Linked DNA regions of Mus musculus. The protein of the gene in region 1 binds, or shares a complex with, the protein of each later gene. Links are inferred from orthologs where the notes say so. Each region holds a gene or a part of one and is shown in the gene's direction. Other genes may lie near its edges. The genes, in order: Smarca4, Arid1a, Arid1b, Smarcd2, Dpf1, Smarce1 and Phf10.

The links.
Region 2: Smarca4 (region 1) and Arid1a share a complex: the UniProt entries of both Homo sapiens proteins name them as parts of the neuron-specific chromatin remodeling complex. The link is inferred for Mus musculus from reciprocal best matches to the Homo sapiens genes SMARCA4 and ARID1A.
Region 3: Smarca4 (region 1) and Arid1b share a complex: the UniProt entries of both Homo sapiens proteins name them as parts of the neuron-specific chromatin remodeling complex. The link is inferred for Mus musculus from reciprocal best matches to the Homo sapiens genes SMARCA4 and ARID1B.
Region 4: Smarca4 (region 1) and Smarcd2 share a complex: the UniProt entries of both Homo sapiens proteins name them as parts of the BAF complex. The link is inferred for Mus musculus from reciprocal best matches to the Homo sapiens genes SMARCA4 and SMARCD2.
Region 5: Smarca4 (region 1) and Dpf1 share a complex: the UniProt entries of both Homo sapiens proteins name them as parts of the neuron-specific chromatin remodeling complex. The link is inferred for Mus musculus from reciprocal best matches to the Homo sapiens genes SMARCA4 and DPF1.
Region 6: Smarca4 (region 1) and Smarce1 share a complex: the UniProt entries of both Homo sapiens proteins name them as parts of the BAF complex. The link is inferred for Mus musculus from reciprocal best matches to the Homo sapiens genes SMARCA4 and SMARCE1.
Region 7: Smarca4 (region 1) and Phf10 share a complex: the UniProt entries of both Homo sapiens proteins name them as parts of the neural progenitors-specific chromatin remodeling complex. The link is inferred for Mus musculus from reciprocal best matches to the Homo sapiens genes SMARCA4 and PHF10.

What each region holds. Positions count from the first base shown.
Region 1 is NC_000075.6:21,671,427-21,675,382, forward strand, and holds part of Smarca4 (transcription activator BRG1), read left to right. Parts: intron 1-616; coding exon 617-663; intron 664-1,743; coding exon 1,744-1,910; intron 1,911-3,640; coding exon 3,641-3,804; intron 3,805-3,956. UniProt on the Homo sapiens protein: ATPase involved in transcriptional activation and repression of select genes by chromatin remodeling (alteration of DNA-nucleosome topology).
Region 2 is NC_000070.6:133,680,946-133,684,901, reverse strand, and holds part of Arid1a (AT-rich interactive domain-containing protein 1A), read left to right. Parts: coding exon 1-28; intron 29-336; coding exon 337-467; intron 468-2,846; coding exon 2,847-3,956. UniProt on the Homo sapiens protein: Involved in transcriptional activation and repression of select genes by chromatin remodeling (alteration of DNA-nucleosome topology).
Region 3 is NC_000083.6:4,993,515-4,997,983, forward strand, and holds the start of Arid1b (AT-rich interactive domain-containing protein 1B), read left to right. Parts: upstream 1-1,580; coding exon 1,581-2,978; intron 2,979-3,410; exon of another isoform or gene 3,411-4,469. UniProt on the Homo sapiens protein: Involved in transcriptional activation and repression of select genes by chromatin remodeling (alteration of DNA-nucleosome topology).
Region 4 is NC_000077.6:106,269,916-106,274,547, reverse strand, and holds the start of Smarcd2 (SWI/SNF-related matrix-associated actin-dependent regulator of chromatin subfamily D member 2), read left to right. Parts: upstream 1-1,575; 5' UTR 1,576-1,839; coding exon 1,840-2,055; coding exon of another isoform or gene 2,056-2,115; intron 2,116-4,632. Other genes in the region: Tcam1 (testicular cell adhesion molecule 1), read right to left, coding at 897-914. UniProt on the Homo sapiens protein: Involved in transcriptional activation and repression of select genes by chromatin remodeling (alteration of DNA-nucleosome topology).
Region 5 is NC_000073.6:29,306,569-29,311,268, forward strand, and holds the start of Dpf1 (zinc finger protein neuro-d4), read left to right. Parts: upstream 1-1,501; coding exon 1,502-1,530; coding exon of another isoform or gene 1,531-1,598; intron 1,599-1,677; exon of another isoform or gene 1,678-1,924; coding exon of another isoform or gene 1,925-1,932; intron 1,933-2,842; coding exon 2,843-3,003; intron 3,004-3,076; coding exon 3,077-3,184; intron 3,185-4,696; coding exon 4,697-4,700. UniProt on the Homo sapiens protein: May have an important role in developing neurons by participating in regulation of cell survival, possibly as a neurospecific transcription factor. Belongs to the neuron-specific chromatin remodeling complex (nBAF complex).
Region 6 is NC_000077.6:99,210,968-99,214,158, reverse strand, and holds part of Smarce1 (SWI/SNF-related matrix-associated actin-dependent regulator of chromatin subfamily E member 1), read left to right. Parts: intron 1-23; coding exon 24-125; intron 126-828; coding exon 829-1,039; intron 1,040-3,191. UniProt on the Homo sapiens protein: Involved in transcriptional activation and repression of select genes by chromatin remodeling (alteration of DNA-nucleosome topology).
Region 7 is NC_000083.6:14,958,270-14,962,654, reverse strand, and holds the start of Phf10 (PHD finger protein 10), read left to right. Parts: upstream 1-1,394; 5' UTR 1,395-1,460; coding exon 1,461-1,544; intron 1,545-3,129; coding exon 3,130-3,236; intron 3,237-4,385. UniProt on the Homo sapiens protein: Involved in transcription activity regulation by chromatin remodeling. Belongs to the neural progenitors-specific chromatin remodeling complex (npBAF complex) and is required for the proliferation of neural progenitors.

The sequences.
Region 1 (3,956 bases):
CACGACCATCTCTAATGAGATCTGGCCTGTAGACACATGTAGACAGAACACTGTATACATAATAAATACATCTTTAAAAAACAGTCACCTTGTAGGTATTTTCTGCGTGTTTGGGGACTCCTCCCTTGGGAAGTGTTCCCACTCCTGAGGTTACACGTGTCTCTGTCAGGGCTTCTTACCTGCAGGTTATGAAGTGCTGATGGACAGACATCAGTCAGGTCTGTGACCACAGCCACGGTCATCATGAGTAACTGTGCTTTTGGAGAATCTCGACTCTTGCCTAAAAAGCAAGCATGTGTTAGTATTCTTAGTGTACAGTTTCAGGGTCACTCAAGACCTCTGAGTCCTTAGCGTTCCATTTCAGGGTGGTCTGAGGTGTTGACGTTGGTGCCTAATATCACATAGTCTTCTTCCCATCCTTCACAGGAAGAGCATGAGGGTTGGCATTGGTGCACTGAGTCCAAGCTGGACATCCACATCTGGACTCTGTGCCCTGCAGGCCACAGATAACTACCAGTGTGACCTCTCAGTCCTCTGCAGTAGCTGCCTGGACCATGGGCTTGACTGGGCAGTCCCTCCCTGCCTTGGCACTGATCCATCTCTTGTCCTGTTGCAGGAGTCCTTTTCTGAGCACTTGGGGTTCACCGGCGGCATCGTGCAAGGGTGAGAAGCTTCCCAGCTCTTGAGAGTGGGTAGCAGTCTGCTAGGGGGGTTATAGTCTTGTTCAGTGGCTTTGTTGCTGTGATTAGCATTTATCTGCTATCTGAGGCCTCCAGACCTAAACTCCACTGCCCACAGTGTAATGCTAAGCAGCCTCTGTTAGCCCTGAGCTTCAATCCACCCGCTCTGCCCTTGATACCCTGTGAGCACCTTTCCTGCAGCTTCAAGTGCGGGGTCCACTTCTTTTCTCTTGGGTTGTTGGGACACAGTCTCAATGTGTGAGCTAGGTATGTATGTAACTATGTAGCCCAGGGTGGCTAATCATCTTCTTCCTGAAGCAATTGGAATCTTTGTGCCTCAACCTTCCACGTGCCAGGACCATAGGTGTGTGATGCCAGACCACACTTATAGAAGTCAGTGGTGTTGGCCATGGATGCCATCTCTAGAATATCACCATTTTCCTCTTTTAGACATTCTTGAAGTTGAAGCTACATTTCCAGCCCCGGTTTTTACCTGTAAGGGCATGGCATTTAATTAGGAGGGTGACAGTGCTTTTTGCTGCACTGGAGATTGGGCCCAGGGCCTCACTATTCTAGACAAGTGCTTCACTGTGGTACACAGGATTCTTTAGTCTATAGTCTGTTCCTAGTGTGAGCTGTTCTAATGTTATGGTAGCAGACCCACCATCCTCAAAGCAGCTCCAGCTCAGCACTGCCCCTCTGTAGAACCGTTCCTCTCTTTCTACCTTTACGTAGGTTCTAGGGACTGAACTCAGGTCAGTGAGCTTACAGGACAAATACTTCACCCAATACTGAGCCAACTCCCCAGCCCACTGGGCGTCATGTCTGATCGCACTTTTTTTATTCTCCTTGTGACCTGGTGAAATGACATGGACATATGTAGTCATTGGTAATGTACTCTGACTAACAGTGACCAGAGTTCAGCTGTAGCAGTGGGTGGCCTTGCTCGGGAAGCCACTTCTTTCCTTGAATCTGCCCAGCAGCCTAGATGCAGCACGCATCTCTGAGCTCACAGGCGTGTGACTGAGGACTGAATGTTTCCCTTCTTCCCTCCGTGGACTAGATTGGACCTTTACCGTGCCTCAGGGAAATTTGAACTTCTTGATAGAATTCTACCCAAACTCCGTGCAACGAACCATAAAGTGCTCCTCTTTTGCCAAATGACCTCCCTCATGACCATCATGGAAGACTACTTTGCATACCGTGGCTTCAAATACCTCAGGCTTGATGGTGAGTAGAGGGCAGTTTGCTGGAGATACTCATTCCTGACCTGGTTATATGGACTTGAAGTCCAGAGTATACCCTGAATCTGAGGACATCCTAACTGTCAGGAACCTGAAGGAGGGCCTGAAGGTGTTTAGTCTCCTGTTTGCTAGAGTCTTCACTGCAGTGCTGTATTCTGTAGTGTGGGTTCTGACTGCCATTTCCGCTTAAGTTACACAAAGTTATCATGTGTGCGTGAACATAAGAGCCCTGCCAATGTGGAACCTTGAGAGTTCTCTGCTCCGGTAGAGCTGCATCTCCATGAAGTTCTCCTGTACTCTGGGCCTCATCCTTAGATAGACTCTGCTACTGCTCAGTGTTAGCAACAGAAACAAAGCTTTCCCCGACTCCCAGCCAGCTACCTTGCCGTGTCCCGTAACAGGCCTGGCCCAGAGCTGAATGATGCTCACTTGCCGTGGGACCCTAGCCCGCTTGCAGGCAAGGTCCTGCACTGCCTGGGAGGCTCTGTGTACCAGTTGCCAGAGTATGTCTTTCCACCTTCCCTACTTTCCACAAAGTACTTCAGGGAGGAAAAGGCCAGCATTGTTAACAGAACAAATGATTGGGAAGCCCTGGAGTTAGTGTCCCACATTGTCATCCTGGGAAGACACAATGGAGGACCTCAGAACCAACAAGACTTATCAGCTTTCTGTTTTCCTTGCAGAGCCTTTATTGGGCTCAGAAGCTGGGAGTGCCTTACTCTAGACCTCTGCCTCTCCTGTCCCATCTCTCTGTGCCCTGGACCTTTTCATTTTATACTGCATTTTAAAGATGCTTCAGCGTCTTACAACCTGAACTTGATTGCTTCATCTTTTTGTATGATTCTATGGAGCTTCATCTAGAATGTGCTGACCAGAACTCCCATACATCCATCTGGCCCCAGCCCCTCCTTAGGTGCTCCAGGACCACCTTTGCTAAACCACCATCCCGTTCTGAATGTTCACATAGCTCAGTGCTGGCCAAACACTGCTGAGGTCCAAATGGCTGGACCTCTAGCTGCCTCCTTTGTCCTTGTAAGCACCAGGTCCTACTTTATGCAGATCCCTGTCTGCTCAAGTAGGAGCCTAAGGACTTTTATCTGTTGGTTTCTGCTGTGAGTGTTGCATGCGGTGTTAAGACTGCTCAAGGAGTGGGCAGAAGGTCAAGGAACACTGTGTGGCAAGTATGAGGTGTAGGCCTATTAGCCCCCTGTGAGCTAGGAGTCCAAGGAAGGCTTCAGTGGTTACAGCTCTTATGTATAGATTTTTCTCTACGCTAACCAAAGTTACTGCAAGAGAATTAAGGGTACATGCCAAGGCTGTGGCTAGTGGTTCATCTCATCACACTATGCCACTAATGCTGTGTTCCTTGTCAGAGTATGGCATCAGCCTTCTTAGCTATGTGGTGTCTCTCCTCATAAAGAACAGAGGGAACAAGTGTCAGGAAGCATTGCACCTAGAGATGGCAGCCCAAGAGCCTGCCAGCATCTTCTTCTTCCAGTGGCTTGTGTCCTACAGGAATCAGCTGGTCTTGTCCCCACCCCCCCTCCTTCCTTTTTTTAAAATCTCCTGAGTATGGCAGCATTTGGTAATGACAGGCTGTACCTCCAAGTCGCTGTCTGGTTAACCCTTTACAATCTATAGAGTATATCTGTGGCTCTTGTGACCTGCAACACCACCCCTGTCACCCTCCTAACCCTCTTCTCCTGTGCCTATCAGGAACCACAAAAGCAGAAGACCGGGGCATGCTGTTGAAAACCTTTAATGAACCTGGCTCTGAGTATTTCATTTTCCTGCTCAGTACCCGTGCTGGGGGGCTGGGCCTGAATCTGCAGTCAGCTGACACTGTGATCATCTTTGACAGTGACTGGAATCCCCACCAGGTAAATGCATTGGTAGAGGAAAGCAGATAGTTCCTATCTTAGTGTCACTGCCTCCCTGATGTTCTCCCTGTCCTGGGAGCCACGAGAAGTGCGGTCACTAATCCACAGTGGTCATGGTTCCCTCATGCTTTTCAAAGTGGAAGTGACCTCAC
Region 2 (3,956 bases), on another chromosome or scaffold:
AGAAGGCGGCTCACAATGAAAGACATTGGTAAGGATACCTCCCTGATTGGGTGGCTCAATCTACCCCTTTCCATCTTTCACATGGTTCCCTCCATCCCAATATTCTGGATGTGGTTAAATCTGGCACAGTATTTACTAAAAGAAAGCCAAAGAATTTGGAGGATGGAAGAAATAAGCTGATTTCAGGTTTTTCTTCAAGGCTCTGTCTGCCATATGCTGGTGCCCTAGACAGCTTAGAAGCAATGAAGTCAGACTAGCCTGACTAATGGACCAGCCTTGGGGGTGCCTCTAGCCAGCTGGGGCTTGGTGGATGGACAACACAGAGGTTTATTTCAGGAACCCCGGAGGCATGGCGGGTAATGATGTCCCTCAAGTCCGGGCTCCTGGCAGAGAGCACGTGGGCGTTAGACACCATTAACATTCTACTGTATGATGACAACAGCATTATGACCTTCAACCTCAGCCAGGTGAGTACAGGTGTCTGGGCAAGGTGAGGGGGTACTGTTGATGTAGATAACACTATGGCACAGCAGGAACGAAGCCATTCTTGGCCCTTGTCACTGTGCTGGAGACCTTCTGTGCTTGCAGTGTTCGTGCCTTGACCCCACCCCACCCCCCACGTGGGGTTGGAATTGGAAGCAGTGCTGGCAACTCAGTTGTTGCTGCTTTCAAGACAGGGTTTCTCTTTAGCGAGCTGGTTGTCATGTCAGAGTTTTATTTGGGAGAAAGGGTTTCATTGTTCTTTAGGGTCTGTTGTTTTGAGACAGGGTTACAACGTTACCTGTATGGAGGCAGCCATAGAGTGTGTGGTGCTGCTTCTGCCCTCTTCTCTATAAAGTGCCATGCTCAGCGGGGGCTTTGCTTTCCTTTTATGAGAGAGGGTCTCTCCCTATCCCAACCCCTCAGTGCTGGGATTAAAGGTTCTGCACAGCTGGGGGAAACTTTGTTACTGGTAAGGATTAAGCAAGATGGCTCAGTGTGCAAAGGCACTTGGCACTGGAGCCTGTGTTCAGTTCCCATACATCAAAAGATAGAAAGATGACTTCAAAAATGATCTCCCCTCATCCCATAATGCTTCCTCTCATTCGTTTATTAATTTTTTTTCAAGGCAGCATTTCTGTGTTTAGCCCTGGCTATCCTGGAAGTCCTGTGGAGCAGGCTAGCCTCAAACTTGAGATCTCCCTGCCTTCTAAGTGCTGAGATAAAGGCGTGTGCCCAGACCACCGTGCTGCTTTCATTTCTTTTCTTTCTTTTTCTTCTTGTTTTCTTTAATTAAAAAGAACTTCAAGACTGGAAACTGGGATTGTCATTTAGATGGTAAAGTGCTTCCCTAACATGGTCATGGCCCAGAGATGGGCTTATATTATAGTACCATATAAATGAGGTGTAGTGGTGCACACATAATCCTAGCACTTGAGAGGTGTAGGTAGGAGATCAGAAGTTCAAAGTCATCTTTGGTTATATAGATAGTTTAGGACCAACGTGGGACACATGAGATCTTGTACGTTAAAAGAAATATGTATTACTATTATTATGGTGATGGCAGACTTACAGAAGATAGACCCTGGGGGACATATTTCCACTGCCTATGTCACTATTGCTGATTTGTTGATGGAGGAGCCGACTAAAGGATGCTTCGTTGGATTACTGTGCTCTTGCTTAATTACTGTTTTGTTTCACGTCATTTTTATAGGAGAGTTGAGTAAATGGGCTCAGAGTCATCTTGGTTTTCTGAAACACTTTCACTACTGTATCCCTGACTGGCTTAGAACATACTTTGTGTGGGTCCTGAACACAGAAATCCACCTGCCTCTGCCTCCCGAGTGCTGGGTCAAGTGCATGTACTAGCATGTCCAGGTCGTAGTCTTTTTGTTTTGTTTTGTTTTGTTTTTTTGTGTGTGTAGTTTTTTTTTTGTTTTGTTTTTTGTTTTTGTTTTTTTGTTTTTGTTTTTTGAGACAGGGTTTCTCTGTGTAGCCCTGGCTGTCCTGGAACTCACTTTGTAGACCAGGCTGACCTCGAACTCAGAAATCCGCCTGCCTCTGCCTCCCAAGTGCTGGGATTAAAGGCGTGCACCCTCTCCCTGGTCTCCCAAAACCTCAGATTCCGTTTTTTGACCATAGCTGGTCAGCACATTTCCATTCTGTGATAGTCTTGTCCACCAGAAAGTAAGGGATAGATTTTGCTCACTTCCTATATACCAGAACCAACTTTATAATGCTCAGGGATTTATCACCATTTCATACAACTAATTTCTGGGAAAAGCAGTATTCAAACCAAGATCTTTACAACTCTAATAATGAGGTGGATGGATGGATTTCGGGCAAGTGTTAATGTGACTAGAAACTAGTGGGGAATAGATGAGCATCTGTTGACAGTGCAGTGCAGTCCTTCTCTAGCTCGTGTTGGAAAGGGGTCATCCCAGCCTGCTGAAGACTTGGCCCCCATGTGGCCATGAGATAACAGAGGCCACTTTAGGTAAACGCTGGCAGTGACCAGATGCCTAGTGAAAAATACAACACACACTCAGAAAGAAGTGTTCGAAGAGGTTGGGTGTAACTGTCAGGGGAGGTATAGATTGTAGCTCACATTTCTGTCTTGCTGGAAGCAGGCTTATGTGACCATTGTTTGGGTCAAAGAAAAATTCTTGCCCTTCTTTACGAAGGAAATGGTTAGAGAACTGTAAAGAGCGGTGTGGTGGGGAAGCCTTTAGCATGGGACAGCTCTGCCTGGGAGAGAAAGGAGGGGGAGGAGAGGGGGGAGGGGAGAGAGAGAATAAATATGAATTGGATAAGATCTTGGGAACTCCTGTCAAGAATTCTTCCCTTCCTTTTTTTCTCTCTTTCAGCTCCCAGGCTTGCTAGAGCTCCTTGTGGAATATTTCCGTAGATGCCTAATTGAAATCTTTGGCATTTTAAAGGAGTATGAGGTAGGGGACCCAGGACAGAGAACATTACTAGACCCTGGGAGATTCACCAAGGTGTATAGTCCAGCCCATACAGAGGAAGAAGAGGAAGAACACCTTGATCCTAAACTGGAGGAGGAAGAGGAAGAAGGGGTTGGAAATGATGAGGAGATGGCCTTTTTGGGCAAGGACAAGCCATCTTCAGAGAATAATGAGGAGAAGCTAGTCAGTAAGTTTGACAAGCTTCCGGTAAAGATCGTGCAGAGGAATGACCCATTTGTGGTGGACTGCTCAGATAAGCTTGGGCGCGTGCAGGAGTTTGACAGTGGCCTGCTACACTGGCGGATTGGTGGTGGGGATACCACTGAGCATATCCAGACCCACTTTGAGAGCAAGATAGAGCTGCTGCCTTCCCGGCCTTATGTGCCCTGCCCAACGCCCCCTCGGAAACACCTCACAACAGTAGAGGGCACACCAGGGACAACGGAGCAGGAGGGCCCCCCGCCCGATGGCCTTCCAGAGAAAAGGATCACAGCCACCATGGATGACATGTTGTCTACCCGGTCTAGCACATTGACTGATGAGGGGGCAAAGAGTGCAGAGGCCACCAAGGAAAGCAGCAAGTTTCCATTTGGCATTAGCCCAGCACAGAGCCACCGGAACATCAAAATTTTAGAGGATGAACCCCATAGTAAGGATGAGACCCCACTGTGTACCCTTCTGGACTGGCAGGATTCCCTTGCTAAGCGCTGTGTCTGTGTCTCCAATACCATCCGGAGCCTGTCGTTTGTGCCAGGCAACGACTTTGAGATGTCCAAACACCCAGGGCTGCTGCTTATCCTGGGCAAGCTGATCCTGCTGCACCACAAGCACCCAGAGCGGAAGCAGGCACCACTAACTTATGAGAAGGAGGAGGAACAGGACCAAGGGGTGAGCTGTGACAAAGTGGAGTGGTGGTGGGACTGCTTGGAGATGCTCCGAGAAAACACGCTGGTCACCCTCGCCAACATCTCGGGGCAATTGGACCTATCCCCATATCCTGAGAGCATCTGC
Region 3 (4,469 bases), on another chromosome or scaffold:
GTCCTTAGATTTATGAAGACCCAAGATAAACCTTAGCCGGCACTGGTTTTGCACCAATGGTTAAACGTCCCCTGAATGCTGTGTGGAGCTAACACTACACACTCGAGGACACCCAAACGCATTATAAGAAAAATACTCCATGGGGAACGCTAGGAGTTTTCATACCTACTTCCGGTGCCTTTAAAAAGAGTTATATAAACACCACCTTAGATCGGAGTGGTGAATCATAAGCAATTATTGAGTGCCTGCTGTGTACACGGCACAGCAGTCTTTGCTGCTTAACCTTCACTTAAGTCTTTCATAATTTCTCAGTTGGATGAAGTTGTGGGAATTAAGCCGATGGCCTGAAATTCAGGCGCAGAGGCCAAGGTTGTGAAAAATTACATAACTCCTGAGAGAGACCGAGTGCTTTTGCCCGGCCTGCCTGAGTGTTTCTCTTCTCCACCGGCTCCTCGCCACCTCTGAGGCCCAACAGACAACTTTGCTTCCCAGCCCCTTCTCCCTCTTTTGTCTGCTCTTCAGACTCGTTTTCCACCTTCGTACCGCTCCCTTTAGACGTGAAAACAAACACAGGGCCGCGCGCGGGTTGGCAGGGAGACCGGAGGCACGAGGGGACCGAGCAGCTTCGGGCCCCGAGCGCCGGCAGCCGGTTCCCCCCCCCCTCCCCTCGCTCCCCCGGGCCGGGCCCTCCGCGCCAGGCCGGGCGAGACCAGCCGGGTGAGCGGGGCGAGCTGGCGGGCGAACGTGCGCTCAGCGGCGGCGCCCGGGGCCGAGTCCAGTCCGCGTTTTGCGAGTGCGCAGCAGCCCTCGGAGAGAAGCGGATAATAGTTGCTCCGGCTCGCTCGGCTCCCTCACGCCGCGCTGGGCCCGATTAGGCTCAGGCAAGTCGTGCATTTCCCCCCCCCCCCCATATCCGGGTTAGAGAGGGGGGAAAAAGAGAGAGAGAGAGAGCGAGCGAGAGTGAGGGAGGGAGAGAGAAAAGTTTCATTGCAAGCGGAACTAAAAAACTTTCCGCCCGTTCAGGCCGTAGCGGGCGCGAGCCCCCGAGCGCAAAGGCGCGCCCCCGGCGGGCGGCCCGGGGCTGCGGGGGGTGGGGTGGGGAGGGCACCGCGCTTCCCCGCGGGCCGCGTGGATGCGCGCAGGAGGGGCGGCCGGCTGCGAGTGGGGACATTGTCTCCCCCCACCCCGCCCGGCCGCGCCACGCCGCGGCGATCATGGCCGCGCGGGCAGCAGCGGCGGCGCGGGCGCGGGCGGGCAGCGGCGAGCGGCGGGCGCCCTCGGGGCCGCGGCCGGCGCCCGGGGCCCGGGACCTGGAGACGGGCGCGCGCGGCGCGGTGGCGGCTCCGGGCCCCATCCTGGGGGGCGGCGACGGCGGCCTGAATAATGTGCACCACCACCCCCTGCACCCCCGTCACGACCTGAACATGGCCCATAGCGCGAGCGCCGCGGCGGCCGCCAGCTCCAACAGCGCGCAGAGCGGCCGCTCCGAGGCGGCTCTCAAGGAGGGTGGAAGCGCCGCCGCGCTGTCCTCCTCCGCCGCCGTCGCGGCCTCTTCCTCCTCGGCGGGCCCCGGCTCGACCATGGAGACCGGGCTGCTCCCCAACCACAAACTGAAAGCCGTTGGCGAGGCCCCCGCTGCACCGCCCCATCAGCAGCACCACCACCACCATGCCCACCACCACCACCACCACCATGCCCACCACCTCCACCACCTCCACCACCACCACGCACTACAGCAGCAGCTAAACCAGTTCCAGCAGCCGCAGCCGCCGCAGCCACAGCAGCAGCAGCCGCCGCCACCGCCGCAGCAGCAGCATCCCACTGCCAACAACAGCCTGGGCGGTGCGGGCGGCGGCGCGCCTCAGCCCGGCCCGGACATGGAGCAGCCGCAACATGGAGGCGCCAAGGACAGTGTCGCGGGCAATCAGGCTGACCCGCAGGGCCAGCCTCTGCTGAGCAAACCGGGCGACGAGGACGACGCGCCGCCCAAGATGGGGGAGCCGGCGGGCAGCCGCTATGAGCACCCGGGCCTGGGCGCGCAGCAGCAGCCCGCGCCGGTCGCCGTGCCCGGGGGCGGCGGCGGCCCAGCGGCCGTCTCGGAGTTTAATAATTACTATGGCAGCGCTGCCCCTGCTAGCGGCGGCCCCGGCGGCCGCGCTGGGCCTTGCTTTGATCAACATGGCGGACAACAAAGCCCCGGGATGGGGATGATGCACTCCGCCTCTGCCGCCGCCGGGGCCCCCAGCAGCATGGACCCCCTGCAGAACTCCCACGAAGGGTACCCCAACAGCCAGTACAACCATTATCCGGGCTACAGCCGGCCCGGCGCGGGCGGCGGCGGCGGCGGCGGCGGAGGAGGAGGAGGCAGCGGAGGAGGTGGAGGAGGAGGAGGAGCAGGAGGAGCAGGAGGAGCAGCGGCAGCGGCAGCAGGAGCCGGAGCTGTGGCGGCGGCGGCCGCGGCGGCGGCGGCAGCAGCAGCAGCAGCAGGAGGAGGCGGTGGCGGCGGCTATGGGAGCTCGTCCTCGGGGTACGGGGTGCTGAGCTCCCCGCGGCAGCAGGGCGGCGGCATGATGATGGGCCCCGGGGGCGGCGGGGCCGCGAGCCTCAGCAAGGCGGCCGCCGGCGCGGCGGCGGCGGCGGGGGGCTTCCAGCGCTTCGCCGGCCAGAACCAGCACCCGTCGGGGGCTACACCGACCCTCAACCAGCTGCTCACCTCACCCAGCCCCATGATGAGGAGCTACGGCGGTAGCTACCCCGACTACAGCAGCTCCAGCGCGCCGCCGCCGCCGTCGCAGCCCCAGTCCCAGGCGGCGGCGGGGGCGGCGGCGGGTGGCCAGCAGGCGGCCGCGGGCATGGGCTTGGGCAAGGACCTAGGCGCCCAGTACGCCGCTGCCAGCCCGGCCTGGGCGGCCGCGCAACAAAGGAGTCACCCGGCGATGAGCCCCGGCACCCCCGGACCGACCATGGGCAGATCCCAGGTAACCCCCGCGCCCGGCCGGGCCTGCTTCCGCCCGGGCCTCGCGCCGCGAGCCCGACTTTCTTTCTTCGCCGGGTACTTTTCCCGGCGGTTGGCGGGGGTGGCGGGGGCGCGGCGCCGCCGGGCCGGGGCCGGAGCTGGCGGGGCTGGGGAGCCGGGGTGTCCCGCGCCCTTGCTGCGCGCTGCGCTCCCGTGCCAGGCCCGGGACGGGACCTCGGTGCCCCAGGCCGCGCCCGCCCGGGGAGGGCTCTCGGGGCAGCGGGCTCCGGGGCCCGGCTTGACTCCGCCGGCGCCCACGGTGTGCCCTGAGTGGGCGCGGGGAGAGAGGAACTTTCTCTCTTCGGGCCTCGGTCGGTTTCCCATTCCCCTTGCGAGGAGGAGGCAGGGGGAAAAAAAAAACCAAAAAAAAAAAAAAAAAAAAACCCAAAAACCGAGGTTAGCTTTGTGACAGCCGTGGCTGGTGGAGTTTGGATGTTTACCAGCAAGAATAAGACCCAGATTTACAACGGGCGGAGGCGAAATATTGTAAAATAACATCGATTCGTTCCTAAGAATAGCTGGGGAGAGATCCATTATGGGGCTAAGGGCTCCTTGGAAGGAGTCACCTTCAACCGGGAGGCGATGTTGAAGGAATAGATTCCGGATCGATGGAACTTATTTTGATCATGGGTTAGGTTTTCCTTTTTTATTCAGCAAACCTAGTAAGGTAGTAGGCCAGAGAAAATGGGTCGTTGTGGATCGTATTTGAGTGGATTTTCTTGATTTTGCTGTCTCCCAAGTCCAACAGCGTTGTTAGGAAGTGTCTTGCGCTCTGGCTGTTTCTTGCTAGTAGGCTGAGCCTAAAGACTGACTTGATCTCTCCTTTGCAAGGTTTGGAATTTGAATTGTGGAGGTAAACTGGCTGTAATAGTCTCCAGACAGCTGCCTCTGAGTTGACATCTAATCTGCCATCTGATTGGCTCCCCTCTCACCATTGGGCATTTAGCACTGCTGATGTAAATAGAAGTGCGGAGCAGTACAGTCACAAAAATTCCTGACACAAATAATAACTGAACTCTATTCCAAGCACATGGAAGATTGAATACTATTTAGAGCTTAAATTGTTATGAATCATAGTTAGTAATAAAGGATTGAATACAGAGAAACATGCTGTTGTCCAGTATTAGGCATTTATAAAACTTGGGTCTTCGATGACAAATCTTACAATATGAACATTACATTTATTGTGGGCTTTAATTGTGGACTGAAAATAGGAGCATTGGGAAATAATTAATGCAAAGATTGGACCAGTTTGGGCTTCGTCAAGCTTTTTTATAAAAGTCTGCTTTTTACAGATCTAATTGAATATATTTTAATCCTACCAGTTTACAGTTTAATGCATTAAGATTTCAGTATTCTGAAATGCTATAACATTTCTTACTGATATTTAATTATCTAAAAATCAGAAGAAAGCTATATAATTGGTGATTCTTAATTAGCTTAGAGCCAGAAT
Region 4 (4,632 bases), on another chromosome or scaffold:
TAGGTAACTGATCCAGACCTTACTTTTCATATAAGTAATTCATGCTGGCTTTGGTCTCGAGACCCTGCTTCCCTGACATTTTTGGGACCTGCTACCATCTCTGAAAGCTCAAAAGCTTTGTGGCACACAAGTGAGATCAACCCACCTACAGGACAACTCTTTATTGGACAAGTTAACAAAAGCAGTTTAGTCAAAAGACCAAAGCCTATGTCATCTTTGGCCAGCCTGGTCTACAGACCTAGTTCCAGGACATCCAGGGCTGCACAAAGAAATCCTATCTTGAAAAACCAAAAAAGAAATACAGAATCTTGTACCCTGCCCCCATTTCATTGAACCATAAACCACATTTTAACAAAAAGCTCGGCTTTCTTCTGATATAGGGTCTCCTGTAGAATCAACTGGTGATGCAGCTGAGAACCATCCTGAACTTCTGGCCCACCTGCCTCCTCCTGTGTGCTGGGATTTTGAGGATGCACCACCATGTAGTTGATGCAGTCTGGGGTTCAAGCCCAGGGCTTTGTGCACGCTATAACCTGAGTTACACCCCCAACCTGATTCTGAGGATTTTCAGTGCCTAGTTAAGTAGCACTATTCTATACCGTGGGTAGGAGATACCACATTGACAGAGGGTAGGTCTATAACATAGCCGAAGCCAGTGGTTTCTGAAAAGGTTCTCAACTTTTCTTTTCTTTTTTGGTTTTTCGAGACGGGGTTTCTCTGTGTAGTCCTGACTGTCCTAAAACTCACTTTGTAGACCAGGCTGGCCTTGAACTCAGAAATCCACCTGCCTCCGCCTCCCAAGTGCTGGGATTAAAGGCGTTTGCCACCACGCCCGGCTGATTCTCAACTTTTCAAAACTAAGTCCTATACAAACTGGATAAAACTTATTTCAGTACCTGGAGTTCTCTCAGCATGCAAAATCCCTTCACCTAAAAACATTTTCTGCGAATTACCAGGCTTCCTTAAAGAAAGGCACGGGCAAGTTAGTGCAGTTAAGTACTCGGAGTTGGGCCAAGCCAAGCTTTCACTCAGCTGGGTCACGTCTGGGGCCGCCCATGTCCTTGGAAGCGCGGAGCAACCAATACAGGCTTCTGGGGGTAGATGGGTGGGTGGGTGTGGGGTGCCTTATGCCACCGGCCCCGAGATGGGCTCTTAAAAAGTGGTTGGCGGCTTTCCCGCCGCGGATCGCTTATTTTTAAGGCTTGAAGACGCAGAATTGACGGAACTGTTTTGGATGGGCCATATCGGGGATCTCGCCGAGGCAGCAGCACTACGGAGCAAACAGCAAACACCTAACAGTTCGGACGGCCCTACGCGACCTTCGAACTCTGACCCCACGCCTTTCTCCTCCGCGCTTCCGCGTGCAGCTTCCGCTCCCGCTCCTCCGGGAAAAGGCCGCCTCCCCCAAGGGCGGGGCTCTAAGGCCGTCAGTTATGGGAGGTGCTGGTTTGAGGCGGGTCTCGCGAGGGCGGGATTTAAAGAGGCATTCTCGATTGGGTTGCCGGGCAGGGGCGGGGCCTGCAGGGTCTAGGTTGGGCGGGGCTGGGAGTTCGTAACCGCCTCTGGGTAACTGGACTCCGGCGATCAAACCTCCGGAGGCCGGGAGAGGCCTGCGGGCTCGCGGCACATCCCGGATCTGGAGTATCCCTGGCAGGAGCGGAGTCAGAGGGGCCGCGGGATCCTAAAGCCGGGCTGCAAAGAACTTGCGAACTTGGAGTAGAAGATCCCGGAACCCGGTAGTAAAATCGGGAAGTCCCGGATCGCGGAACGTAGCTCGCGGAGCGGACTCAACACGGAGACCGGAGGCCGGATCGCTGCACCGCGGGACGGGACAGAGTGATGTCCGGCCGTGGCGCGGGCGGGTTCCCGCTGCCTCCGCTGAGCCCCGGCGGCGGCGCCGTTGCCGCGGCCCTTGGTGCGCCGCCTCCGCCTGCGGGACCCGGAATGCTGCCCAGCCCGGCGCTCAGGGGCCCGGGGCCTTCTGGAGGCATGGGGGTACCGGGGGCCGCCGCCTTCCGCCCCATGGGCCCCGCTGGCCCCGCGGCGCAGTACCAGGTGAGGAGGGCAGGCGAGCGGCGCCGCGAGGGCGCTGTGTCGGTCTCCCTGGGGCCTCAGGTGAGGACAGGCGGCCCAGGGGACACTGCAGGAGGAACTGTCGAGGGCTGGTGGCGGGCAGGCCAGAGTCCCTTGGTTAGTGGCTCGGGGTTGGAGGCAGTGTTGGGGAAAGGGTGAAAGCCCTCTGCGGTGGAGGGCTTGAGCAGTTAGAGGAGTCCCGGGGCTTCTTGGCTCCGAGTAACTTAGAGATGGAGGCTTCGTGAGATCTAGAGAATTGTGGGCAATCAGGTTGAAAGTGTAAGACAGGTCCCGGAGTGGAGGTGAGGGAGTGACCCGGGATGTGGTGAGGAAAATTTGGAAGAGGGTCGTTAGTGAGAAAACAGGGTTACTCTTTCTTTGGCCTCGGTCCCACTGCATCTCTGCCTTGGCTTTCTTTCTTTCTTTTTTTTTTTTTTTTTCTTCCTAGTTGGGAACTGGCAGAGCGTTAGTATGTCTGAGATGGCTCCCAGCTGCTCAAGTTGAGGAGGAAGGAAGCCAGGCTTCCTACGAAATGGGAGACTAAAGAGATTGGGCCCAGATAACTCCAGGATAGATTAGAAATAGCTGTGTCCAGGTCTGAAGAAGGCCCGATCCCATTAACAGACCATTCAAGATATCCTCTGTACGGGGCTTTCCTTCTTGATGCCAGTGTCCAGTAAAGTTTGGAGGAGCAGGGAGGCTTTGTGGAGTCCTGCTGGTCTTGGGCTGCACAGGGTACTGCCCTGACCCTTCTGTCTTGGCAGAGAGCTGTCTCAGGTTGCAGCATCAAAGGCCATTGACAAGCAGAGACAGGACCCGTGGTCAGTGCATTGGGAACTCAGCCTGATTCTGCATGTGGCGCTCCTCATTCCCCAGAGCTCTGGTTCAAGTGGCTCCAGAATGTTTGGGAATTTTGTTTTGCTTTTGCATTTTGGTGCTGAGCATGGAATCCAGGCAGGGCTTTGCACGTGGCAGACGATTGCTGTATCAGGGAGCTGCACCTCCTTTCCTGGGGATTGTGCCCATCCTTCTCCCACATCCTTGTCACTTTTGTTACTTGCTTTTTGATACAGGGTCTCATATAGTCCAGGCTGGCTGTGTAGCCAAAGCCCACCTTGAACTCTTTTCTCTCAAGTGTCTGGCATTACAGTCACACACTATCACGCCCAACCTCTCTTTCCTTATCCCTCAGGTTCCTGACAAGGCCATATGTCTCTCAACCTATGTGCCAGAGAGGTGAGAGGTGTGCACTGTAGCTTGCTCTGTCCCCTGCTGGTGTCTCTAGGTAGAAGTCTCAGAAATAGATCTTCATGATGTATGCATATTCCACCCAGGAATCAGATTTCTTTTTTTTTTTTTAAAGATTCATTTATTTATTATATGTAAGCACACTGTGGCTGTCTTCAGACACACCAGAAGAGGGCATCGGATTTCGTTACAGATGGTTGTGAGCCACCATGTGGTTGCTGGGATTTGAACTCGGGACCTTTGGAAGAGCAGTCGGCGCTCTTAATCACTGAGCCATCTCTCCAGCCCAGGAATCAGATACCCAGGAGATACCTAACTGGGGGTCGGAGTGGGGATAAGTGACCCCCTTCATTTCAACTCCTATCTAAAAAGAAAATGACGAGTTTGGGTATAAACAGAGATAGACGTGGTTCCAAGGATACTAGCGGGGTTTATCTTTCCCATGTGGCTTTCTTTGGAGATTCATGGGCCTAGTATATCACTGATGAGTCTCTGCGTCAGCCCTTGGCTCTGCTTGTTTAGAGCTGGTCTGGAAGCTTCCTACAGGCACTGGGGATGTCTGTTTGGTTGGTTGGTTTTCCAAGTCTCTCTATATAGTCCTGGCTGTCCTGTAACTCACTATGTAGACCCATTTCCTTGGAAAGCAGCTGATAGAGAACATGCCATTGGGAAAGCCCCTGTTGAAGACTGGAAGATGGATTCCTGCATATTTTGTAGAGTAGCCTTGGGTCTATGCTGAGGCCAGGCTGGCCAGCCAAATGGCTGCGGCTGCTAGTTGTGAGAAAGGAGATAGCCTTGAATCTGGGCATCCCATACCAACTATGTTTCCTCTCCCCCTCCTCCTCCTCCTCCTCTTCCTCCTCCTCCTCCTCCTCTTCTTCTTCCTCTTCCTCCTCCAGGGAAAGGCAGGGGAAAGGAGGGAAGGAGAACCCAGTTAGCATTGGTTGAGTTTGAAGGAGATCCCGCTTGCTTCTTCCCATGTCCAACTTCCAGCAAGTCTTGGGATCTGAGGCCAGAGGGGCTCCTGGTTAGAGTTCTTGGGGTGAGCAGACTTGTGTGCTCAAGATGAGCATATTGGGGAGCCTGCTGAAGTAAATTGATAGCCCACCTAACTCTAGAGGCTTTTTCTAGTTTTGGAGTATAGTTACCCTGAAGAGCTTAACAAAACCTAGTGTGCATTATTGCAGGGTTCACTCAGCTCAGAGTTTAAAATACCTCTGTTCATAGGGTCAGGGTATGTCCTCCAAATGAGGCTCTTAGGTTCAGGCAGCTATCAGAAGGACCAGGGCTACAGATTTGGAGGAGAGCAGA
Region 5 (4,700 bases), on another chromosome or scaffold:
TGGTCTGGAGATGATACTATGTGAGGGGTACCCACACCCCTTATTTATTCCTGGGCAGGACGTAAATCAGACACCCTGCAGTGCCGGGGGACGCCTGAGATGGGTGGGTGGGTGGGTGGATGGGGACATTTGTGGAAGGGAGCTATAGCAGTCTAGAGGTGTATTGTGTGTGTGAAGTGCGGGAAACCTTGAGACTTATGATGGGTGGACCGCCCCCTGCTGGACAAGAATTTTTTTTGTATTAACACTTGATATGCTAATTTATGCTGCCACTCTAATCAGAATGCTAAGTTATTCCCCAGAGGTGGGGCTGAGTGTGAGTCGTGTGTGTGTGTGTGTGTGTGTGTGTGTGTGTGTGTGATATTCAGTAGGTCAGCTCATTCTCTGGGGATCTCTTAGGGTAGAGTGTGGGAGAGAAAAGGAGGCAAGGAGGATCCTGTAGGGACGTGTGCAGGCACACGAATTCTATATCCAGACAGCAGCCAGGGGCTGAGAACAGGTAAGGTTTCCTCCCAGGATCTCAAAGCCCTTCTCTAGAAAATGAGGATAGTCCGGTTTAACCTGGAGAGAGCTGTGTTAAGCACATAGTGAGTGTTAAGTATTCACTCAACAAATATTTGTTGAACACCTGCTAAGGCAGGCTATTTATTCTTCCTAATAACAGTGCAACCACTTTATGCCTTGGTACATATCAGATCCTCTTTGTAGATATCTTCTCGGTGGAATAAATGAATTTATAGGTATCTGCCAGGTACTAATTCCAGCACTTGCCTGGTATGGCGTCACACACTAATTTCAGCACTTGGAGAGACAGGAAAAATGGCCAGTTTGGGCTGAACAGCAAGATGCTGTCCCTAAAACAGTCACTTACCCTGTTGCTATTGTAATCTTCAGTCCGTTGAGACAGGCCCAGAACGCTTAGCTTAAGTCATGCGCACCAAGTCCCACAAGCGAGGATTTGAGGCCAGGAAGAAGGAAGGCAGTTCTGTAGTCCTTCGTAGGAGTGGACTGGGGTGGCCGCGAGAGTCATCTCTCAGTCACGATGGGTTCTCTACAGCTTGGAGTGCTAGGTGGCGTTTGGCGTGCTGGTGACACAGCTGGGTGGGCACCTGCGAGGTCCCCGCGCGCCTGTGGCCGGTTGTGCGTGAAGGTGGGGTGAATGGAAGTCTGCGAGTGTAGTGTGACTATGTGTAAGCTGCCATGTGCGCGTGTGTGCGTGCATGCGTCTGTGCACGTGGGGCTGGAAGTGCGTGTGAGTGAGCGTGTGTGAACGACTGCGAGATCCTCCATCCCTCCCCCACCCCACCCCCTGGGTCGGAGGACCCGCTAGGGACTACCACTCCCGGCATGGCCTGGGCGGCCCGCCCTGCCATCCTGATTGGCTGAGATCCTCGTGCTCCCGCCCCCTGGGAATGAATGGATGGGCGGCCTCAGCGCCCGCCCGACCGCTGGGAGGACCGACCCGGCAGGGACCTGCTGGGGGCAGGACCCGGGGAGCAAGATGGCCACGGTCATCCCCAGCCCCCTGAGGTGGTGCGGGTGGGCGCGAGGCGGGGGAGTCGGCGCGGGCGGGTCTGTGCGGCCGCGCGCGCGCGTGTGTATGTGTGTGGCCGCTGGGGGTGGGGCTGGTGGGGTGTCAGGGGGCTGTCACCGCGTGCGGGGGTGCGAGTGTATGTGACTGAGGGTGTTTAGCAAGAATGATGTCCGACGCGTTGCTCCAGGACTGGGAGAGGGCGTGGGGGAGGGGTCTCCAAGGATTTTTAGGGGAAAGGGGTCATGTCCCCTCCCAGGGATGCCAGGGTTTGAGAGAGGGTACATGGTCTAGGGAAGCTGGGGCCTGGGTACACTCGAATCCACGCTACCTTTGTCTTGGGGTGTGGAGTGTGTTGAGCGACTTATACATTGCTTTTTGCTTTGTAGCTGAATGTGTGGGTATGTATAGGGTTTCTTTTATTCTGCACTACCTATCTGAGTATTTGGGTCTCGAAGTGTGTGCACATGTCTGGCGAATCTGCACCATTTATGTTCTGTGTCTTTGGATATGGACGTGTGAGGATAGGTCTAAATTTTTGTGTGAACATGAGCAGACCTGACTGCCCCTCTGTTTCCAAGGCGTGTACCTGTGTATTTGGGGATGCATTTTAAATTTGGGGTTTCTGTGTATGTGTACCCTTGAAAATCTCAGTGATGTCTTTGTATTGTGTGTTTGGCTGGAGTGTCTTTGGATGGATATGTAAGCGCATATGTAAATGTTTATAGGGTCCCTATCTTTTGACATTGTGTGACTGTTGGGATGAGTGTTGTGTGGTGTGTTTCCATGTTGTGGGTCTTTGTGGATAAGCTGTCTCTGGAACCATCTGGGTCTCTGGATACATGACATTCATAGGTAGTTCTATGGCTTTTTTTGATTTGGATTATTTGTGTTCTGCAAGAGATGTGTGTCTGTGTGACAGAGAGAATTTGTTTGCTACTCCTTTGTGAAGATTGGGATACGTTTCTCTTTGTGTGTGAATCCCGTGTGGCCATGTGCGATTTGTTTGTATTGGGTGTTTGGCTACGTTCATGTGTGGATGGGTCCCGGTATGTTTTGGTTTGTTTTTATATTGTCTGTGAACACTTCTTAACCCGAGACATAATCAAGTTTTAGGTAGCTGCTTCCCTGCCAGCACCCTGCCCCGCCCCCGGATCCAGAGGGGTGGGAGAAGATGGGGGAGGTGAAGGTGGACCTGGCCGGCTTGCCCTTTGCGGAGCAGTGGGAACGGGCAGCCGCGGGAGGGTGCTGGGCCTCCCTGCACTAGCCCTTGCTGACAGCCGCCCGCCCGCTGCTCGCCCGCCCCCACAGCCTTGGCGAGGACTTCTACCGGGAGGCCATCGAGCACTGTCGCAGCTACAACGCGCGCCTGTGTGCCGAGCGCAGCCTGCGCCTGCCTTTCCTCGACTCGCAGACCGGAGTGGCCCAGAACAACTGCTACATCTGGATGGAGAAGACCCACCGCGGGCCTGGTACTCGCCGCGAGGCTGGGGTGGGGCGGGGCCTGAGTCCGGGGACCTCACTTTCACAGCCTCTCTCCTCCAGGTTTGGCCCCGGGACAGATCTACACTTACCCCGCCCGCTGTTGGAGGAAGAAACGGAGACTCAACATCCTGGAGGACCCCAGGCTCCGGCCCTGCGAGTACAAGATCGGTGGGTGGAGCTGTGTCCCCTGCGCCTGCTGTGGCCCCAATCAAGGCCTTCAGCCCTCCCTGCTCCCCGGCTGAACTTCGTCTTTATTATCCTGAGTGTCCCTCCAGCAGACTATCTGTCCCCGGATGTCTTGAGTTACTTTCTTTGAGTGACTGAGTTGCCAGCTGTACCTGCTATGTGGGTCATGGCAAGCAGGTGTTTGGAGGACATGGTGTCATCTATGTCTAGATGTATCAAGGCTGATTGCATGTGCTTCCCAGGGAGCTGGGATACACCTGTGTCTGACTGTGTTTCTTTCTGTGGGTGCTGAGGGCTGTCTCACTGTGTATTTGTAAGAGTTAGCAACAGTTCTCCAGCTGTGGGTTGAGACCATGCACAACATATTTACATTTATGATGTATAACTATAAAAAAATTACAGTTATGAAGTAGCAACGAAATAATTTTCTGGCTGGGGGGGTCAACACAACATGAGGAACTATATTAAATTTAGGGTCACACTTTTAGGAAGGTTGAGAGCCACTCAGGGCGTCTACTTGTGACTTGTTTGTTGCTGAGTGCTTTAGGGTGCCTGTTTCTTTCTAGGTGTTTCCAAGAGAGAAAATGTGTGGGAAAATGTGTGTGTGTGTGGGGGGGGGGTAGGTCCGTGTCTGTCTATCTCTTTTGGGTGCATATCTGATTCCATCAGGGCATCCTGTTGGGGTACCATCTGTGACAGCCTTTCTGTGTTAGGTGTTTCTTCTGGAGTTTTCCAATGTGTTCAGGATAGGCAGACATTGGTTTCATCTCTTCCTCTGTCCAAATGTGTGTGTGTGTGAAGGTCTCCTTGTATCAAGGGTGCTGGAGAGCTGGCCGGCTGTGTTTTTCCCTGTATGTCAGACTGGGTTTCTCTGTGTAAGCATGTGGACACATTTGAGTGCTTCTCCTCGGGGTTGTCTGTGAGTGTCCAGGTGTACCATAGGGCGTACCTTTGTCTTCCTAATTAATGAAGGTCTAGATTTCTCTGTGGCTCTGGCTATTTCTTTCTGAGTATCTCTGTATCCAAGGGCTTAATCCTATCTCTTCTGTGTGTCCAGCTGTGTTCAAAGGTCAGCTGTGTTCCCTGTGTGGCCGGACATCTCTCTGCATGTCCTGCCTATGTGTCTGTGTGTATCCTATTCAAATGTCTATCTAACTTTCTTTGGGTATATCTGAGGGTCTAGTTGCCTTTCTACTATGCATGCAGGTATTTATGAGGGTCCATAGTGTTCCTAAGGGTTGCCAGTGTATTGGAGTCTGGTTCTGTCTTCTTTATCTAGTAGAGCTGAGGGTGTGGCTGTGCCTTCCCAGTGTATGGATATTCTTTCCAGGGCTTGAGTCGAATCCTTCTGTCCATTGTTGGCTGTGTGTGGGACAGTGTGGGAGAGCCTGTCCCTGTCGAAAGGACCATGCCCCCACCCCCACCCCCTGCAACCCGGGCACTTTGGCCACAGCCTCTTCAACTGATACCACTTTCCCTGTGGCCCGTCCCCAGATTG
Region 6 (3,191 bases), on another chromosome or scaffold:
ATATCTGGTCTGACACCTTACAGCGGAAACTAGAAGCCGAGCTCCTTCAGATAGAGGAACGACACCAGGAAAAGAAGAGGAAATTCCTGGAAAGCACGGACTCCTTTAACAATGAACTTAAAAGGGTATCCGTTCCATTCACTGACTACCTTTATCATGCGCCAGTTGCTATTTTTCTTAATGTTTCTATTGAGTGTTGGTCACTTTGAAACAATACTAACATCACAGCACAAACTCTACTATCTTTATAATAAATTAGCAGTGTCATGTATACATATAAAGACTAGGCCCTCAGGTAATAGAACCCTCCAGTGCTTTGTTAAAATCTTTGTAGTTGTAATTTATTTTCACTTTTTTGTAATTTATTCATAGATGTCTTCATTAGATGTAGTTCAGTTGCATTTTGAGTAAGTCTCGCTGGGCATGGTGGCACACACCTTTAATCCCAAGCAGAGGAAGCAGGATTCAACTTCAAGGTCAGCCTGGTCTATATAGTGAGTTCCAAGACTACATAGAGAGAATATATCTCAAGAAAGCAAAACAAGCCAAAAAATTCAATGACTGAATAAATAAGTAAATCCCAAGTTTGCTAACTGAGGTGTGAGTGGAGGTCCTGAGGCTAGCCGAGTCCTAGAAGGCCCAGCAGCCCCTGCCCCTGCATGCCTGATGGTGGCTAGATCAGCTCTTTTGTCCCGTCGCTTCAGGACAAGCCATTGCTTTCCTTTTCCCTATGTAAATACTATTACATAAGCCAGGAGACAACTTACTTAATTCTGAGTTTCTCGGAAGAAAACATGCTGAGCTCACTGATGTGTTCTTCACAACCAGTTATGTGGTCTGAAGGTGGAAGTAGACATGGAGAAGATTGCGGCTGAGATCGCACAGGCGGAGGAACAAGCCCGCAAGAGGCAAGAGGAGAGGGAGAAGGAGGCAGCAGAGCAGGCTGAGCGCAGTCAGAGCAGCATGGCCCCTGAGGAAGAGCAAGTGGCGAACAAAGCCGAGGAGAAGAAAGATGAGGAGAGCATCCCGATGGAGACAGGTAACCGCCTCCTCCACACCCAGGAGGGGTGAGGGCCCTGACAGCTGCCTTCTGGCTGTCCTGCCTGGATGCCTTTCAACAGTCTGCACCCTTCAGTCATTCCCTGCGACACTCCAGTCTTATTCTTTCTCCATAGTAGATTCACTGCTGCTGTTGCTGGCTCCACAGTGCAGCCCAGTGGTGTCAGTCTTGTTGTCTGAGCTCCTGTCGTACCCAGGTGGGTGGGTGTGGCTCTGCAGATAGAGAGACAGACGTGGAGGGTCCTGCCTGTGTGCCCGTTGCTGACAGTGACGTTACTGAGCCTTCTGTCTCATCTCCTCATTTGAACAACACCTGCCTCCATGAGTGCACTCTGCTGCGGATTTGACATAGGATAATAGGCAATAATATTTTAACCTTTACGGCTACTACTTACATAAAATATAACATTGTTCCCAAGATATGTCGTCTTTGTCCTAAGATGGCATTGGGCAAAGTAAAGCAGTAAGCCAAGTCTTACTCCATAATTCTGTAAGTAAAGTTTGACTGCCACACTGTATGTGACAGCTTTGAGGAGACAGCAGTGTGTGTGTGTACATGAATATATACACGTATACATGCACATAGACGTATGTGTATATGTACATGTGTACATGTATGCATAATACATATCTGTACCTGTGTGTGTATGGTTTGGGACTTGAGACAGACTTCCTGGCCCACAAAGCCTACAGTGATGACTGTCTAAGCTTTACATGTTGGTAGCCGACCAACCTCGCCCTAGAACAATGGTTTGGTTTTCCTGAATAAAGGCATTCCTCATGGTTCAGGGTTGGTTTTTGTTTTTAAGAAAAGAAAGGTAAAACTTAGATCAAATACTGATGACTTTGGTTAACCTTGGCGTTTTTGAGATCACCTTGCCTGTTGGCACTATTGACCCTGATAATGGATAAACATGAGCAGGTCAAAGGTAGTTAGGGGACACTAGCAATTGCTGGTAAAAGGGACACGGGCATACTCTCTCTGTACTCAAACAGCAACTCCTGGCAATGTTTAATGAAACTTGAGAATCTCTACCATGCATTTATACACTATTTGTTTAACTCAGCAGGTTATCTTTTCAGACAGTCTGGTTTTAATCAGCATTGTCTGGGCTCCTTTCTGGTTTTGTGAACCTGGTTTTGTTTTTGGGGGGGTTTTGGGGTTTTTTTTTTTTTTTTTCCCAACCATAAATTTGGGGCTGAAGCACATTTTTGTGGCTACCGCAGACGCTTGCAAATCAGAGTGTGGTTCCTTGCTCACCTTGCAGCCAGGCCATATTCTCAGTCTTGAGTCTGTTCTGCCCCGAATGAGGTCTGTCTATTCTGACAGCATCTGGATGTTTAGGGTGTTTATTACTCCGATGTCCGTCTTCTAGCTTAAGGAAAAGAAAGAGGAGGAGGAACCGAAGGAAAAAATTGGAGATGTCAGAACCTTGTATTCAGCTTCCTAAGAAAGTGGCTCAGCTTCTTTCTGTGCCTTTATTTTGTGTGCTTCAGGCAGGGTCTTGCTGTACTGCGTTGTCCAGGCTGCCCTCAGACTCCTGAGGGCAATCTTAGCCTCAGCCTCCGAGTAGCTGAAGCTTCTGCTGCTGCTGCCTCTCGCTTCTGGCTTCCTTTTTTTTTTTTTTTTTTTTTTTTTTTATTTTATTATTATATGTAAGTACACTGTAGCTGTATTCAGACACACCAGAAGAGGGAGTCAGATCTTGTTACGGATGGTTGTGAGCCACCATGTGGTTGCTGGGATTCGAACTCTGGACCTTCAGAAGAGCAGTCGGGTGCTCTTACCCACTGAGCCATCTCACCAGCCCTTCTGGCTTCCTTTTAATGTGACGTTTAAACCAAGTCTCCAGAAAATATTTCAGTGTTATCTATCAATATTTTTAAACTTATTAACATTCTAGGCTAGAGAGAAAGCTGAGTAGATTGGACCTGAGCTCCTATGTAAAAAGCATGGTAGCGCATGCTCATGATCCAGGACTGGGGAGATAGAGATGGGCAGCTCCCAAGGCTCGTTGGCCTGCCAGCCTAGCCTGCCTGGTCACTTCCAGGTCAGTGGGAGAGCCTGTCTCAAAAACGTGCACAGTGACTGAGGAGCAGAACTTGTCTCCTCTGACTCACGGACACACGCA
Region 7 (4,385 bases), on another chromosome or scaffold:
AGCTGTGGCTGTGAAAGGGAACTCGAATTCTAAAATCCAAGAGCTAGATCACCACCACCTTTTCTGGTTTGGTCCCCTACATTCTTGGAAGTGTTGTGGGGAGTGGAGGGGATGGGGGGTGGGGGATGTAGGCCTGCCTCTCTGCCCCTTGCCTTTGTCCATTGGACCTGTTGTCTTCCTGGTGCTCTTTTCAAAGGGTGGGGTACGGCCTTTCCTGTGGCGAAGTCTAAGCACTAACATCAATATAAATCCTGTCCAAACACCATTGGACAATTGGCTTCCATTTCCAGGAATTCCCAATCCTGTGTCCTGCAGGTGACTGTGCTGACTCTGTCATATGATTTTGGGAACCTTCCCTATGTTCTCCTTGCCTGACTGGGTTCCGTTCAACCTGAGTGCTGCTGTGACTTTTCCCGTGGCCATGGGGGCCACTACGCCAAGGTCACAGGAGAAGCAGTTGTAGAACAAATGAGCCAAGAGCGCCTTGGGGATCCTGGGGTGTGTGGAGTGAAGATGGAGAGGTGGGGTGGAGAAGTCAGAAAGGACTCAGGAGAAGGGGATCTCAAAGAGGGAGGAGGCGGAGCTCCTGGGGTGGTTGACCCTAAGGGCTGCGAGAGAGGAGGAAGTGGGCTGAGGACACTAATCCTTCATTTACAGAAGGGAGCGAGGACCCTGGTGGAGAAGGGGAGGTCGCCGCGGCTGTGGAGACCCCGGGCTGAGAGGAGGGGCTGGGGACCGGTAGGGGTGGGGTTGGTGGGAGGATACCGCGCGGTAGGGACCCTCAGCTAAGGTGCTGATGATCGGGAGTGGGGAGGACACGGCGGCGTGGTGGCGACCCCGGGCTGAGGGGAGGAGCTGGGTACGGGGGAGGGATTGGAGAACAAGCGTGGTGAAGACACATCTTTGAGGGGAGGGGCTAGGGACCCAGGTGGGGACAAGGCAGGCACCGCCGACTGAGGACCCCCGGCTGACGCGCAGCGGAGGAGGGGAGGGGGCGGGACCGCGGCGGGGCGGGGCGGCGCGGAGCCGCGGCTGACGCGGAGGGCCGGGCCGGGGGCGCAGGGAAGGGGCGGCAGCGAGCTCGCCAGGCGGCCAGGAACCCGGGTGGGGCCGGGACCGAGGCGGTGGCTGGCCAGCGGAGCTCAGGCCGGGCGCGGCGCGCCGGGTGAAGGCGGCAAGGCGGCAAGGCCCCGGCCGAGGCCGGCGGAGCCGCGCAGCTGCGGCCGGCTGACGTGAGCGGCGTGCGGGTCCCGGCCGGCAGCGCGCTGGCGGCCATGGCGGTGGCGCTGGCGGGCCGCGGGGCGCGCGGCGGCAGGGGCCGGCCCCCGGGCGGGCGGGCGGAGGGGGCGGGGCCGGGGCGCCGGGCGGCCCGCGCGACAGCGGCGGCAGCGGCGGCGGCGGCGGCCGCTGGGACTAGGCGAAGGCGGCGACGACGACGGAGGCGCGGGGCGCTTGGGCTGATGGCAGCGGCCGGGCCCGGGGCGGCGCTGTCCCCGGGGCGGTGCGACAGCGACCCGGCCTCCCCCGGAGCGCAGTCCCCAAAGGTGAGCGGAGCGCGCTGCCCAAGGGGCAGCGGCCCAGGCCGGGCTCGGGAGAGAAGAGGAGACCGGGCGGCGGGTCCTGGAGCAACAAGTGCGGCGGACAGTGGGCGCGGACGTCGGGGAGACCTGCGCGGCGGGGTGGGAAGTTGTCCGGGAATAGCTGGGACCGGGGGACTCGGGAAGAGTGCTTGAGACGAAGCGCCCCCAGCCTGGGAAAGTCGGAAAAGTTGGCGGCCTTGGGGATCTCAGTCGGGGAGACGCTGAGCGGGACGTGCGCTCGGGGTCCCGAGTTGGCAGAACGTGGTTTCACACCCACAGACCCGGCCAGCCGAGGTGGCCCCCGCCACGTGCCGGTCCTCCCTGGTGGGGTCTCTGACTGCTCGCAGGGGGCTGCTGGCTCCCTGTCCTGACCGAGGATGGTGCGGAGGGGAGGGCCTTACCTGGAACGTAGCCCTTAGGATTCCTACAGTTGTGAGCTGGTAAACTCTGTGTCAACTTCCGTTATTGTTTCTTTTCGAGAGGATCATTGTTTTTAAGTAAAAGTATTGACATACAGAAATCCTTAAAATGTCCACAAATTAATAAAATAGTGCTTAAAATTAACGGTGTCAAGCCAGTATGGACCATGAATACAGTGAAAAACATACTAAGAAATTTAATTATCTTTCAACTTCTTGATTGTTAGCTTTAAAAGGGAATATTAAGTCTACTTGATTTCATTCTTGAAGAGTGAAAAGGGGAATGATTTCTATGTTCTTTTTTAATTTGGAAAGTAATTTTAGTAAATTCCTAGGTGCTGGAGACATAATGAAATATAAAGTCACTGCTAATCACAACGTTAACATATATCAGACAGCTATGTGCTACCTGGCTCTTATGTGATCACTTCACTGCATCCTTGCATCAGCCACCTAGGCTTTAGGACTGGGGAGAAGCTTGCAGCACACAGCTGGTGGAGGGCAGTGCTCAGTAAGATTCTCTGGCAGCCCGCAGTGCCATGCTGACTTGGCATGCTAGCCTGTGCTGCCTTTTCATTCCCTTCCGTGGGCCTTTATTGAAATTTATAGTAAGAGTAGTAGTGTTAGGAGCTATAGTACCTTGATTTAAAAAAAAAATAGGAGTTTAAGCCTATTAATTAACGTAATGAATTGTTTTTAAAACATTTGATTACTTATTTCCTTAATGGAATGGCTCAACAACCTATATCTCCTATGAGTTTATCACAAAGTGTTGAATTTCTGCCGCAGAAGAAAAGGAATGTAGTTAGACGTGGTAACCTGTATCCAGTCCTTCTTCATCTCCAAAGTAGCTAATTAAAATGCGCCTCCGGGGGGCCAGTTGTAAGCTGAAGGGTACTATGAAACTTACTAGTATTTATTTCCCAGCTCAAATAGGAAGGCTTGCTTTGATTTTTAAAGTGGTGTGGCTACTAAAAAGCAGATGTTTGAACACAATCTAGTTGGTAAGAAAGTGAAAGCAGAGTACATTTAAAATACAGTTGAAAATTTAATTTCATTTCGATTAAAGGTCAGATTTTAGTTTTATTCATTCTTAAATTTTCTAATTTTTTAATCATTTAAATGTACAGGATGATAATGAAGATAACTCAAATGATGGGACCCATCCATGTAAAAGGAGGCGAATGGGCTCAGGAGACAGCTCAAGAAGTTGTGAGACTTCAAGTCAAGATCTTAGGTACTTTAAGGTTCAGTAGTAACTTTCGTAGACTTTTGCTCACTTCTTCTTCTCCTGCCTATTCCAGGCAGCAGAAACAGTTATTAAAAATTATATGTGTTGGCTGGAGAAATGGCTCAGAAGTTAAGAGTGCTTGCTTAACTGGAGGTTGGTTAGCAGCCCCACATCTCATCTCATAAGCTCCTGTAAACTCTGGAGGATCTCATGGTCCATTCCGGCCTCCACAAATGTCTGTATAGAGAGCAAACAAACAAATCTTCTAAAAAAGTCATATACTATCAAAGTAGGTCTCACTCCTGATAACTGTTAAAAAGTTATGGTAAAGTAGGTATATAAAACTCACCATTGTAACACTTTTTATATATAAAGAGTATATTTCAGTACAACCATCACTCTCGGCCCTTTCCAAAACTTTAGTAACTCAAACTGCCTAACCCTCCAGTACCTCCCATCCCTTCCTGCCTCCAGCTGCTGGTTACCACAGTTCTACTTCCTGCCCTGAGTATGAACCAGACAGTACCTGCCCCGTGTTATCTGGCTTACCCATAACCATAGTATCTTCAAGGTTCATCGTGTTGGAGCTCCTTAAGTCTGAACAATATTCCATCGTATGTTCTGCTACATTGTGCTCATTCACCTGCAGGCTGGGGTAGTTAATGCTGAAGTGAACACTGGCATTCAGACCCCTGTTCTTAATACTCTGGTATATAACTAGAAGTAGAAAGCTGTACCACACGTTGATTCTGTCTTCAGACTTTTTAAGGACCTTCCATACATTTCCATAGCAGTAGTACCAGTCTGCATTTCCACCAACAATACACCTTGCAACATTATTTTTGCTCATTTTGCTGATAGGCGTCCAGAAAGACATAAGGTGATCACCCACTGTGATTCTGTGTTGTATACCATGGCTAGTGGTGCTTGCCGAATATTTTTTAGGTGCTCTTTGATCATTTGATTTATGTTTTTGGAGAAATGTCTATTTACTTCTCTGTCCATTTCTCCACCCCTACCCCAGTTTTTGTTTTTGTTTTTGTTTTTGTTTTTTTGAGACAGGGTCTTAGTATGTTTCTCTGGCTGTCCTTGAATTTACTATGTACATGAGGCTGGCTCACAGAGCTAGATTAAAGGCATGCACCACTGTGCCCA